Alligator mississippiensis: one gene and its partners. The protein of the gene in region 2 binds, or shares a complex with, the protein of the main gene of each other region. Links are inferred from orthologs where the notes say so. Each region holds a gene or a part of one and is shown on either strand. Other genes may lie near its edges. The genes, in order: PDCD10, STRIP1 and STRN3.

Evidence for each region.
Region 1: STRIP1 (region 2) and PDCD10 share a complex: the UniProt entries of both Homo sapiens proteins name them as parts of the core of STRIPAK complex. The link is inferred for Alligator mississippiensis from reciprocal best matches to the Homo sapiens genes STRIP1 and PDCD10.
Region 3: the proteins of STRIP1 (region 2) and STRN3 are in contact, whole or in part, in a cryo-EM structure (PDB 7K36), measured with the Homo sapiens proteins. The link is inferred for Alligator mississippiensis from reciprocal best matches to the Homo sapiens genes STRIP1 and STRN3. Residues at the interface, in NP_149079.2 of Homo sapiens: Arg441, Ile445, Tyr447, Leu449, Thr455, Val456, Val457, Gly458, Leu459, Arg491, Ser492, Pro493, Leu494, Ser495, Phe792, Leu793, Pro794, Val795, Asn797, Cys798, Leu799, Val802; in NP_001077362.1 of Homo sapiens: Thr64, Pro66, Gly67, Leu69, His70, Tyr71, Gln73, His74, Val88, Glu89, Ala91, Glu92, Ala95, Arg96, Phe99, Leu100, Glu103, Gly106, Gln107, Leu110, Asp113, Leu114.

The regions. Positions count from the first base shown.
Region 1 is NC_081830.1:73,258,456-73,262,200, forward strand, and holds the start of PDCD10 (programmed cell death protein 10), read right to left. Parts: upstream 2,986-3,745; 5' UTR 2,895-2,985; exon of another isoform or gene 2,890-2,894; intron 1-2,889. UniProt on the Homo sapiens protein: Promotes cell proliferation. Modulates apoptotic pathways. Increases mitogen-activated protein kinase activity and STK26 activity. Important for cell migration, and for normal structure and assembly of the Golgi complex.
Region 2 is NC_081837.1:34,620,924-34,624,668, forward strand, and holds the start of STRIP1 (striatin-interacting protein 1), read left to right. Parts: upstream 1-930; 5' UTR 931-964; coding exon 965-1,171; intron 1,172-2,227; coding exon 2,228-2,297; intron 2,298-2,912; coding exon 2,913-2,987; intron 2,988-3,745. UniProt on the Homo sapiens protein: Plays a role in the regulation of cell morphology and cytoskeletal organization. Required in the cortical actin filament dynamics and cell shape. Part of the striatin-interacting phosphatase and kinase (STRIPAK) complexes.
Region 3 is NC_081825.1:253,307,185-253,310,929, reverse strand, and holds the start of STRN3 (striatin-3), read left to right. Parts: upstream 1-1,354; 5' UTR 1,355-1,529; coding exon 1,530-1,820; intron 1,821-1,858; exon of another isoform or gene 1,859-1,980; intron 1,981-3,745. UniProt on the Homo sapiens protein: Calmodulin-binding scaffolding protein which is the center of the striatin-interacting phosphatase and kinase (STRIPAK) complexes.

The DNA of each region.
Region 1 (3,745 bases), on a different chromosome or scaffold from region 2:
GTTGTCTCAGAGAAGCCACCACTATCACTAAAGGAGGTGCTGATAATCTAACAATGTAATATTCCCTACTTTCCCTGAAAGGAGGCTGTATTGAAAAAAAAACTCCAAGATCTCTAGCGCAGTGGTAAGGATGAGGCCTAAACTCCACCAGGAAAAATTAGTATTCATTATGTAGGATCCCATTTTGCGTTCATGGAGGTAGACAACTTAGAATTTAACAGATGCAGGCCACCTCCAGACTAATACAAGTTTCTGAACAGAAAGCAGTTGACAGTCACTTGTATACGTGGCAACGTTTGTGACTATGAAAAACAGCAAAATGTGGTTAGCTTTCATCATATGCCACTTCTATATAAAACTCACAACGTAATGTAAGATTATAACGCAGACAACTTGTCAGCGGTACGTGTTAATAGATTTATTATAATTACTTTACATGACAAAAAATTGCTGGTACTTAAGGTTGTATTGTTTTAAATTGGTGGTGCGCAATGTGTCAGAGTTCGGGAAGCGCTACATTACACTATTAGGCCCTTGTTCCTTATGGAAAACTAACTCAGGCACCTGTGCTACATTTGAGTAATGCACTGCAACTTATGGCCCACCTATACCCGTTTGTTTTTAGGACAAAATGTACTAATATTCCACCTACCACCACATACCTTAGATTTTTGTTTATTTTCTTTTTTTTAAATCAATTTTAGTTCAAAAGCCATTTCACCACTGGGGAAAGATACAAGGTATGCATAAAATAAAAATCCTGCTGCTAAAACAGATAAAACGTGGTATCTGCTCCTTTGCTACCACTTAAGAGACTTTGTCTCACCAATTAAGAAAACAGCCACCTTGAGTCTTTCAGGTCCCAGGGACAAGTGCAAAGTGGTACCTAAATATAATTTCTTGTCTTCGTCCAATGACCTTCCTCAGCACTCTGGAGGGCCTGCAGAAGACTTCCTGCTCTCACCTTGCTCCAAGGTACTTCATCCAGATGGATACTTGAACTAGATTAGATACTTGGGGTGGATAACGCAAGTTCTACCTGTGGTTACTGAAACTATAAGCAAAAATTCGAGGAAACGCACAGAAGAAAACATCACCCTTTCACGTGCCCCTCTAAAGGGAGTTATGATCAGATGCAAGAACTTGGTGTTACGAACCTAGAAGCTGGAGTTCAAATACGATTCCACCCAAAACATAATTTTGCATTCTTCTGACTGCCATGGCAACTGACAATACTCATTGACCTTCCCATAATGATAGTGGTCTTTTTCCACTAGTGTACAATAGTGGGAACCAAACTTTAGCAGGCATGCCACAAGGAAAGCCCCACACCCACCATAAGTGCCACTCCAACCTCCTTCCCCTGCCTGATCTGCTACAGTGCTTCCTGCTCCCCGCCCTATCACAATGTTCCCTGCTCCCTCCCCGATCTGCTGCATGCCATACAGAGGCTCCCTCAGCCACAGCTTGGCCACCCCTGATCTACAAGATGACTTCAAACACCCTTCAAACCATTTGTCAACAATGAATCATATAAGAAAAAGGAAGGGATACAAATCACTATGATCAGGCTGATTAGATTTTTGTTTAGCATTAAAAAAAAAAAAACACCAGACCACCCACTTAAGTTAACATTAGAGGAATTTACTACTACTGCAAAAACATAATGAACTTGGCCAGTCTAGACAGGTAGAGGTTAAGGGAAAAAATAAAAAAGCCACATGGTCTTGGTTGTATGGATTACACTTTCCCTTACTTAACATTGAAAGTAGCTTAAAAAAAAAAAAAAAGTAGCAAAAAAATTACTGATTCAAGTTTAGCTTTCCCAAAAGCTTTTCTTAACTACACTGCTACTTGCACAGCCTGTGAAATGGTATATTCATATAGAAAGATGAAAACAAGCAACTCTACTCCTATAAAAACATGACTGTCCATGCACATACATTTAGTTATTTTGTATATGGCTGGGTGCCACTACTTCAGAAGCTAAACTAAGAGGTCACAGGGGAAAAAAAGCCACTTGGGAGAACGCTCAAGCCACCCACTTTTCTAAATCCGAATCCATTTTGAACCTCATGAGTTTTGCAAGTCACTCCTCCCGAGTCAGAAACCCCTCACCCTACACGCAGTCAGGGATTCAGCCCTTTTCCACCCTACCTCATTACTACGCCTAGCGAGGATGCAAGACGCCAGAACCTGCCCTCTGGGGCTGGGCTCCGATTTCTTACATCAGACAAATTGAAGAGCTGCCTACCCGTGAAGTAGCCAGGATCACAACCCCAGCAACTAGACTGCTTGCCAGGCAAACCCCCTCGTGACAGCGCCCCCCAGTTTCTCTGCCAAGTCTATTTTGGTCGGCGGCCTCCTCAGGCCTCTTGAGATTCACTCCGGGCCCCTCCTGCACCCCAAGCTGGGGCTGGTATGTGAGCGGAGCCTCCCGGCAGCGACCCCGGGGCTCGGCACCTCTCTGCGGGAGGACGGGGCTCAGTCAGCCCGCACAAGGAGCTGCACCCGGGGGCGCCCCAGCCCGGCTGACACCGGAAGGGCAGGTCCGCCGCCCTCGCTCCGGGCCCGGCCTGCGGGAGGTGCCGCACCAACAAAGGAGGGGTTTTCGCTTTCCCCTTCCCCCACACCCCTCCCGCTGAGGGAACCCGGGCCCAGTGTGAGCGGGACGGGAACGGGGACGGGCGCGGGCACCTCCGCAGCACCCGCCCCGCCCCCACCCTTCAACCGGGCCCCGATTCTCCAAGGAGTTTTACGCCCCAAGAGCAGCGTAACCTCGGCGGAGCCGCCAGGCCCTACGCAAACACCGCAGCGACCCCAGCGGGCCCGGGGAAAAGAGAGGAGAGGGCGGGGGACAAAGCACCGGCGCGCCCCCACGTCCCGTACCTTACCTCCCCCCGCCCCTCCGAGCCTTCCCAGCTGTAGCGCGGGCCCCGCCGCCGCGCCGGAAGTGCCTGCCGAGTAGGAAGCGGCGGCCGCGGTTACCACACACCAGGCGTTGCCCGGAACTCGCCGGGTACCGCGCGGGCTCCTGGGAACTGTAGTGACGCGCCACGGGACTACATATCCCATCATGCCGCGCGCGCGGCAGGGCGGGGGAAGGAGGAGGAGGAAAGGGGCGGGGCTGGAAGAGAAGGCGGAGAAGGAGCGACCAATGGGCGCGAGGGCCCTGAGAAGGGGGCGTGGCCCCGAGAGGGGCTGGGGAGGCGTGAGGCAAGGCAGGCGTTGGCGGACGCAGTCGAATCAGCCCCTAAGGCGGTCCGCGAGTCGCGGCCAGCGCGCAGCGAGCCACCAGAGCCGAGCCGCCGCGGAGCCGCGCGCAGCCCAGCCCAGCCTCTCCGCTCCGCTCCGGGTGAGTGAGTGAGGGAGTGCATGTGTCCCACGCCGTTCCGCGATGCTCATTATTATTATTATTATTATTATTATTAATTTGTAGCGCTTCTCCAATTTGGGGGTTGTTTGCCCTAATTAAGTATGTATGTATTTATTTATTTATTTTGGCACCTTTCCCCCCCCACCCTTGCAAAGCTTTAGCCTGAAGGCGTTATTCAAAAGTGCCCCTCGGGCTCTCCTGGAGCAGTGGAGATCCACACCCACCTCCCCCTGCCCGAGCCCGGGGGGAGAAACAAGCCCCTGCCTCTGGGTCCAACGCAGCTTATTCCTCGCCCCTGCGCTGAGCAACGCGCCCGAGCCCTCCTGTTAAAATGTGATTTGTCTTCCCAGCCTAATAATCCGGTTTTGC
Region 2 (3,745 bases):
GGCCATATGGCCGCAAGAGCAAGCTAGGGAGGAGTCCCCTATTTCCATAAAGTTGGCGTGTATCTGAGATCTTCCCACTGGAAGTGAAAGTGGGAGGCCAGTGGGAAAGCCACTTCATAGTCATGGTGTTTCCCCTGCTGAGACAGGTCCTTAATGCTACCAGAGCCCCTCGCGAATACAAGAATACAGACCTGTTGGTTCAGAAATGATACCTTTTATTAGCCCAACTAAGAAACCGCAAAAAAAATTCTCTTTTTTCTGCAAGTGTTCGGGCTCAAAGGCCTGTCCCCATCTTGAATTTGCCCAGAGCCTGATGAGATGTTTGCATTTCTTTTTGTCTCAGACCATTACGACTACCAAATACGTTCCTGAACCATTAATACAGGGGCTTTTTTTTTCCCCCTGGTGGAAGCAATTGCAGGGGCTAGAGGTACCCTGGGGAAGCTGTTTGGAGGCTTTGGCACTAGCTGGGGCCTGGGGACAAAAGGGGTGCTTTCCTCTGCCACTTGTTTCCTGTTCAGCCTTGGGTGTATCACTTCCTCCACTTGTGCCTCGTTTTCCCCGGCGTTAATGACGGTGCTTTGGCAGCTGGGACCAGGCCATGACGCCTTCAGGCCTCAACTGGGCTCCGGGATGAGTTTAAATCGCTTTCTGTGCTCTAGCTTGAGATGGCCACACCTAATATGGCCGCCCGGGCGGGGAAGAAGCTCCTTGATGGCCACACCCAGCATGGCCGCGCAGGGCGGGGCCCATCAGCGGCGGTCACATCCAGCATGGCCGCTGGGGGGGCGGAGCTATGTTCCATTGGTAGCCACACCCGGCATGGTGGCGGGGGGCGGGGCTTGGCGAGGCATCGAGCATGGCGGCGGCTCCTCGGCTCTTCCTGCAGTTCTCGCGAGAGCAGCCGGTGAGAGCTCGCGAGATGTGGGCTCGGAGTGGGGGGCGGGGGTGAGGCGGTGCCAAGATGGAGCCTGGCGGCTTCGTGGGGCCGGGGCCGCTGGCGGCCAACAACAAGCCGCGCAGCGGCCCGGCACCGGCACCGGGGCCGGGGCCGGGGCCTGGTCCGGGTCCAGGCCCAGGTCCAGGTCCAGGCCCAGGCCCAGCGCAGGGCCCGGGCCTGGCAGGCGGGAAGGGCCGCGAGTTCAACCGCAACCAGCGCAAGGACTCGGAGGTCAGCGGAGGGGTTGGGGTCGGGGCTAGACGGGCATGGAGGGGGTTGTGCCCCCACGTCTCGCGTGTGTTGACACCCCCTACGGTGCCCGTCCCTGTGGCAGGCAGGGGGTTGGTCGGGTGGGGCCCCGATGGGTGGTGCAGGGGGCCCGGCCGGGGCTGGACGCCATGTCCCCTCCCAGCCCCGCAGGCAGGTCGTTTCCGAGTCGCATCTGCTGTGCTGCTTGGGACACGGATCACCGTCTTTCAAAGAAGAAAATGCCGCCTCCTTCCCAGGAGCTGATGGAGACGGAGGAGCTCCCAGCGGGGGTGGGGGGGGGGGTTGTGACGGGTCACAAAGGCTCTCAAAGCCGGAGGCTTGCCTTAGGGCCGGCCGAAGAGCCTCTTCTCAGGAGATTAAGGCTGTGTCTTGAGGAAGTCCCGAGGAAGAGCTTTCTCTTTCCCCTTGGAAAGGCGCGGGATGATCCTTTCTTCTTGTGACAGGTGGTTTAAAGCAACTCCGGCGTCTCGCTGGCTTGTTATTCTCCCCCCCTGCACTCGGGCACTTTCCCCGTGTTCTTGGACTTCTTGTTTTTGTCTGTTTCTTACTTGGCGTGGAGGGCCCTCCTGCACGTGACATCCCAGCGATGCATTTCTGCAGGGGTTCGTGCTGTCCGACATCAATGCGGTCTCTGAGGCCCCTGTGGTCAAGACCTTTAATGCTAGGATTAAACGAGAGGTTCTGTCTGTTTTACACAGTGATTTTCACTTGAGGAGATCCCCACCCCCCAAGTTGTCTTGAGGCCAGTTGTGTGTAGAGATCACGTATGGCTGCGCGCAGCAGCGCAGAGCAAGGTTACACAAGAGAGCGATCAGTATTACATCAGCCCAGAAGACGGGGGATACACAGCAGGTTGCCTCAGAAACATTTAAGATCTGCTGATAAATGCCGGGTGTTCGGCTGAAGATGCAGCATGAGCCTGCAGCAGGGGGTTAACTTTTATTGTTCTGACTGATTTACTGATGCTTTTTAATGAAACGTGCTTTGTTTAAAAGTGAATTTTCCTTCTGTCACCAGGGCTATTCCGAATCCCCAGACTTGGAGTTTGAATATGCAGATACCGATAAATGGGCTGCGGAGTTATCTGGTAAGGGAATTTAATCCCTCTTGATCTCTAAAGAAAAGTTGTATTTTGCTATGCACTCATCTTTAGCTGCATCTTGGTGTTGTGTATAGTAAAGCTAATGCTATTTTGAACCATAGTTTTTGCCATATGCTGTGTTTTATTTGTCTTGAGTCGGACAACAGAAACTGTTGGTTCCGTTTGAGTGCGTCTTTTTCTTTCTTTTTAATTGGGTTTTTGGTTGTCATCCTAACAGTTGCTTTGCTGTTTGGATTACAAGTACTTCTAGGCAAAAATATCTTATCTCTTAATTTAAAGACATCTTTAGTTTGGCAATAATAGTTTTAACCATCAAAAGTTTTCATGTTAAATTTCACTTGCATAATGCCCTGGGTTTTTTTATTGTATTAAACTCTTGATTATGTGAAATGTGAGTGATGGGGACCTTAAAAAAAAAAATTAAAAAAAAAAAAAAGAAAAGAAAAAAACACATCTGATTGTCAGGAGCTTTAGGATTGAGTTCTGTTCTGTGCCTGTTTGTTACGTGACTACCATAGGCAGTCTTTGAGAAGTACTTTTTGGGGGGGATGCTGAAAGAAAAGTGACAACAACCAGACACGGTTTATGGTATGTTGGCAGAACTGTACAGCTACACTGAAGGCCCAGAATTCCAGCTGAACCGAAAGTGCTTTGAGGAAGACTTTAGGGTCCATGGTAAGATAAGTTTATTCTTCCCTTCTTGTCCCCTGTTCATAGGTTTTAGGGTCACCTGTAGAACATTCATGAGGAGATGCAAGTACTGATGTGTTATCCCTGTGTCAGGGCAGGAACTGACTACAAACATCCCTTACTTGGTTTACAACTTATAGTATTTGCTGGCAAATATTGTCTCTATCCAAGGGACACCTTGCTAATGTACCTCACCGATGAGCACATTGTTTCTGGCTCATTCAGTAATTTATCTCTCTAAATGTGGTGGACAGTTAGTGCCAATTGTGGCTGTGGAAGGCACTATGAACAATCAACTTATTTTACCTATGCCTTTTGGTCTCAAACTGGGATACTTGTATCTCATAGGGCATGTGGCAAACTCCTAGAGGGCATGTGAAGGGAGGAATGGGCAAGCAGAGAAAGGAAAAGGGAAATATAAATAGGGAAAAAGGAAGAACAATTCTGCAGTTTCTCTTAAGTTGTTGGATAGCTGATGTTAAGGGCAGCAGTAATGACCTAGTATTAACTTTTATTATCCATGCTATGGTACAAGACCCAGACAGTTTGGGAAGCCTGACCTACTGTTGACCAGCTATTAGACTCTACTGATTTCTGGTTGTAGCTGATGTGTATTTCAAAGGATAAGTCTCATTAATCTGATCTTGCAGTAGCTGGCATTAGTGAGTCTCCTCAGTGTGACCTCTAGCAGATCAGATATGTTTATATTCTGTTCCAGGGTTGTGATGAACATCTTGCCCAGA
Region 3 (3,745 bases), on a different chromosome or scaffold from region 2:
AGGTAGTCATTAGAGTGGATCCATAGGATTAAAAACCATGTATGGTACATGAATTTGTCCATGCTTGAGCAACTGATACAATTTCTGATTCACCTAGTAAAAGAACCTGTTTAAGAAACTGTTATTAAAGATATGTTTGTGGGAAAGATGAAACCACACCCTCTTTCATTTAATTATGGGTGACAATTTTTTTCAAGCAGGAGGTGATAGCTGAAATTAATTTGTCTTTATATGCCTGTCATTACTGCTGAAATTGAGGGCAATGAATCTGTGACAGTCTGACCTGATTTAGACTGAAGATAGCATACATCTCATAAGTAATAAGGAAGAAAACTGGAATTTGCTACCAGTTTCGCAGGGAAACCAATCAAAGCATGGTGATAAATATTTGCAAGACTTTCTCCCTGGGGAAAGGACCCCGGATTAAGGAAAGATTACAAAATAATGAAGGAGAGGTTTTTAAATTACTTCTTGGGGGAAAAAAAGAATAGTCCTTTGTTAATAAGGGCAATACTTAAAAAAAAAAATGTTTTTCCATGTCCTTTTTTTGTCCTGGCAGATCTACAACCAGCATTGGAGTTGCGTGGTGCTTTGATTTCTCTGGCAAGTCAGTCATTTGCTTGAAAAACTGCCCACATTTTTCAAAACGAAATACAAATAAAAAATATAACCTGCCATGATCACACATGAAAAATTTGTAATCGAGCTAATCTTTATAACTAATAAAGAGATCTTCCATCTTTATTTTATAAAAAGATATATGAATCTATCTATAGATCTTGATGACAGATAACACAATCTCTTTATAGAAAACTTGACTCGTGGACAGAGGTATATTAGACCAACAAGATTTTTGCCAGAAAAAATTCTTTAGATAACTTGATGTCTTTTATCTATGTTCCTGTACAGGTACAGACGTATACCCCCCAAATCGCGGCGCAGGTGGGTACACGAGGCAGGTTTAGACGCGCACACTCGGGGCTGCTCTGGTTCAGAAAGAAACGACGCGGGACTGGCCGTTAGGCACCGCTCACACGTGGGGCCTTTCCCAGCCCCCGCACGCAGCCGGGGAAGCGCAGCGCTGGGGCGGCCCCAGCGGAAGCATCCGAGGAATGCGGCTGCCGGGGGGGGGAGGGGCGGCCGCTCCGCCCCCGCACGCCAGGCCCCTGCCCTAGAGACCACGGCCAGCGGCCCGCGCCCCCACCGGGCCGCTCAGCTGCGCATGCGCAGTCCGGCGCGCGCGGAGGGGGTGGTTTCCCGGCGTGCCCCGCGCGCCCGTCCCCCCCCCCCCCCTTCCGCAGTGGGCGGCTAGTCAGGCCGAGGGCTCGCGGCTGTAATGGCGGCCGGCGGCAGCGGCGGCTCGGCGCGGCTCTGACACTCGCACCCCGCTCGGCGCCGCCTCCCCCTGCTGCCCCAGCCCGGCCCGGCCCACCCCGCCCCCGCCCGCAGCGGCCGCCCCCCACCAGCCAGCCCCGCCCCGCCCCGCCCCGCCCGCCGGACCCGAAGGAGGAGGAGGCTCCCCGCAGACAATGGACGAGCACCCCGGCGCCGGCGGCGGGATGGCGGCCGTTCCGAGGCCGCAGCCGCCGCCGCAGCAGCCGCCCGCGGGCAGCGCGAGCCTGGCGGCCGGCGGGGGCTGTGCCGGGGGAGGGCAGGCGGGCGCGGCGCCGGCGCCGGCGGGGCAGGAGGCGGCGGGCGGCGCAGAGCTGTCGCGGCCGCAGCACTACACCATCCCCGGCATCCTGCACTACATCCAGCACGAGTGGGCGCGCTTCGAGATGGAGCGCGCGCACTGGGAGGTGGAGCGGGCCGAGCTGCAGGTACGCGGGGAGAGGCGCGGCGCGGTGCGGTACCGTACCTGGTGGCGCGTCCGGCCCGGCTCCTCACGGCCTGCGCGGGGCTGCTGTGCCCGGGACAGCCATTTTGGTTGCTAGCATGGCGCCCGCCTGGGCTGCCGGCTCGCAGCCCGCGCCCCGCCTGCAGGCCCGGGCAGCGCCCCCGCCTCCCGCGCCCTGACAGCTGCGGGCCTCGCCCCGAGCACAATGACGCGGGGGCTCTGGGGGCCGCGGCAGGGAGACTTCCCCTCCTTCCGCAAGGAAGGGGGAGTCCCCGGGACGGCGGCTGCCCCCGGGCGGGGGCGAGGCGAGGGGGCTTTCACCCCCCGGGGTCGCCTCCGGCCCGTTGTCAGCAGCTGGCCCATGGCACCGGGCCTTGTGAAGCCCCCGAGTCTGGTTCCAGCAGAGGGAGGCGGTTTCTCATCTTTCCTTGGAGTGAGGGGAAGGAATTACCTTCCTCATGACTTGGGCATGTGGAAATAGCGCTGCTGTTTGCTGTCCGAGATCCCAGTCTGGTCCTGGAGGGGGTGGGCAGATTTGGACTCCCTTTTATAAGTGCATAGAAAAGCATTTTAGTTATGGGGAAAATATGGAGAGAGCAGCGTGTCCCAGTGAAATAGTTTTCTCTTTGTAGTGAAACCGGCTTAAGGGATCTGCTGTGTATAATTGTACCTGGATGTATTTATGGCTTGCAGCAGTAGGTCAGAAATTTGCTGTTTTAAGAAAAACCCAACCCCACCCCCTTCCAATTAGAGCATATTGCAACACTGTTTGATTGTGATTTATAAAGCATTTAAATTTCAAAGCAGCAGCTCCTGTCACCAGATTTCTCAGCTCTAGTATAATGGGTGCATCATGTACTTAGTACTCTTGATTCAGTATCACTGGAGTAATAATAAAAACAGCACCCCACTGCCCAGTTATAACAAAGACTGTAAGTGAAGTAAATTTTGGGACCCAGTTGCTTCTGGAGCTAGTTTGGTCAGCGTTAACTCAGTTCTTGAAGTAGGACTAACTTGGGACAGTGGCAGGGCACTTAACTGTGCGTCTTGTTTCCTGTGTTTCAGCAGTGCTAATACTGTATTTCAATACAATAACTTACTGCAAACATGATCAGACTGAAAACTTGTGGCTATTGACTCTTATGATTGACTTCTAGAGCTTGGTTGGTTTGTGTTACAGAAATTACATATATTTTGTTGAAGGGGGGGGTTATATTTATAAACCACTATTTTAACATTATAGTGGGGCTCATGTCATAATATATGGTAAAGATCCAGTTTTTGCTGTAAATAGCAACAGTTTCTCTTTTTTTGGTCCCTAATTGTGCAGACCCTTTTGACCTTTCAGGCTTATGAGGTTACTCACCTACATAAAATTAAGCCACCCGCAATAGTCCTTGAAAGATTGAGGTCTTGTATTTAATACTGACACATGAATATTAGGTTCTTAGCCACTCTTGATTGTGTGGTTCCCTTCTTCTGACATTTCAGTTTATTCTACAGACACTTTTTCAGTTATTACAGATTCTTTCTGATTTCAATTAACTCGCTATCCATGTTTCTTTGAAAATGACACTTCGTAGAAATAAATGAAAAACAAGTACTGTTGTGAGATCAGAGCATCTTACTGACCTGTGTAGGGGAGTCAATTTATTGCTGTCATCTTTTCTTTCTAAGAATGCAGGCATTTTCTTACTCCCAGAATGAAACTAATGAGTTCTTTTCATTTTCCTCTGTACAAATAAAAGTGCATGGATGGGGGATGCTTTGCAAATGACAGAGAATGTGGAGATATACTGGTAAATGGAGAGGTGGCTACCTGTAATAACCCACTCCTTTTTGTTACTATACTATATATTTATCTGGCCTATTTGATCTGATGGACACTGGAATGAAAGATTTAATTAA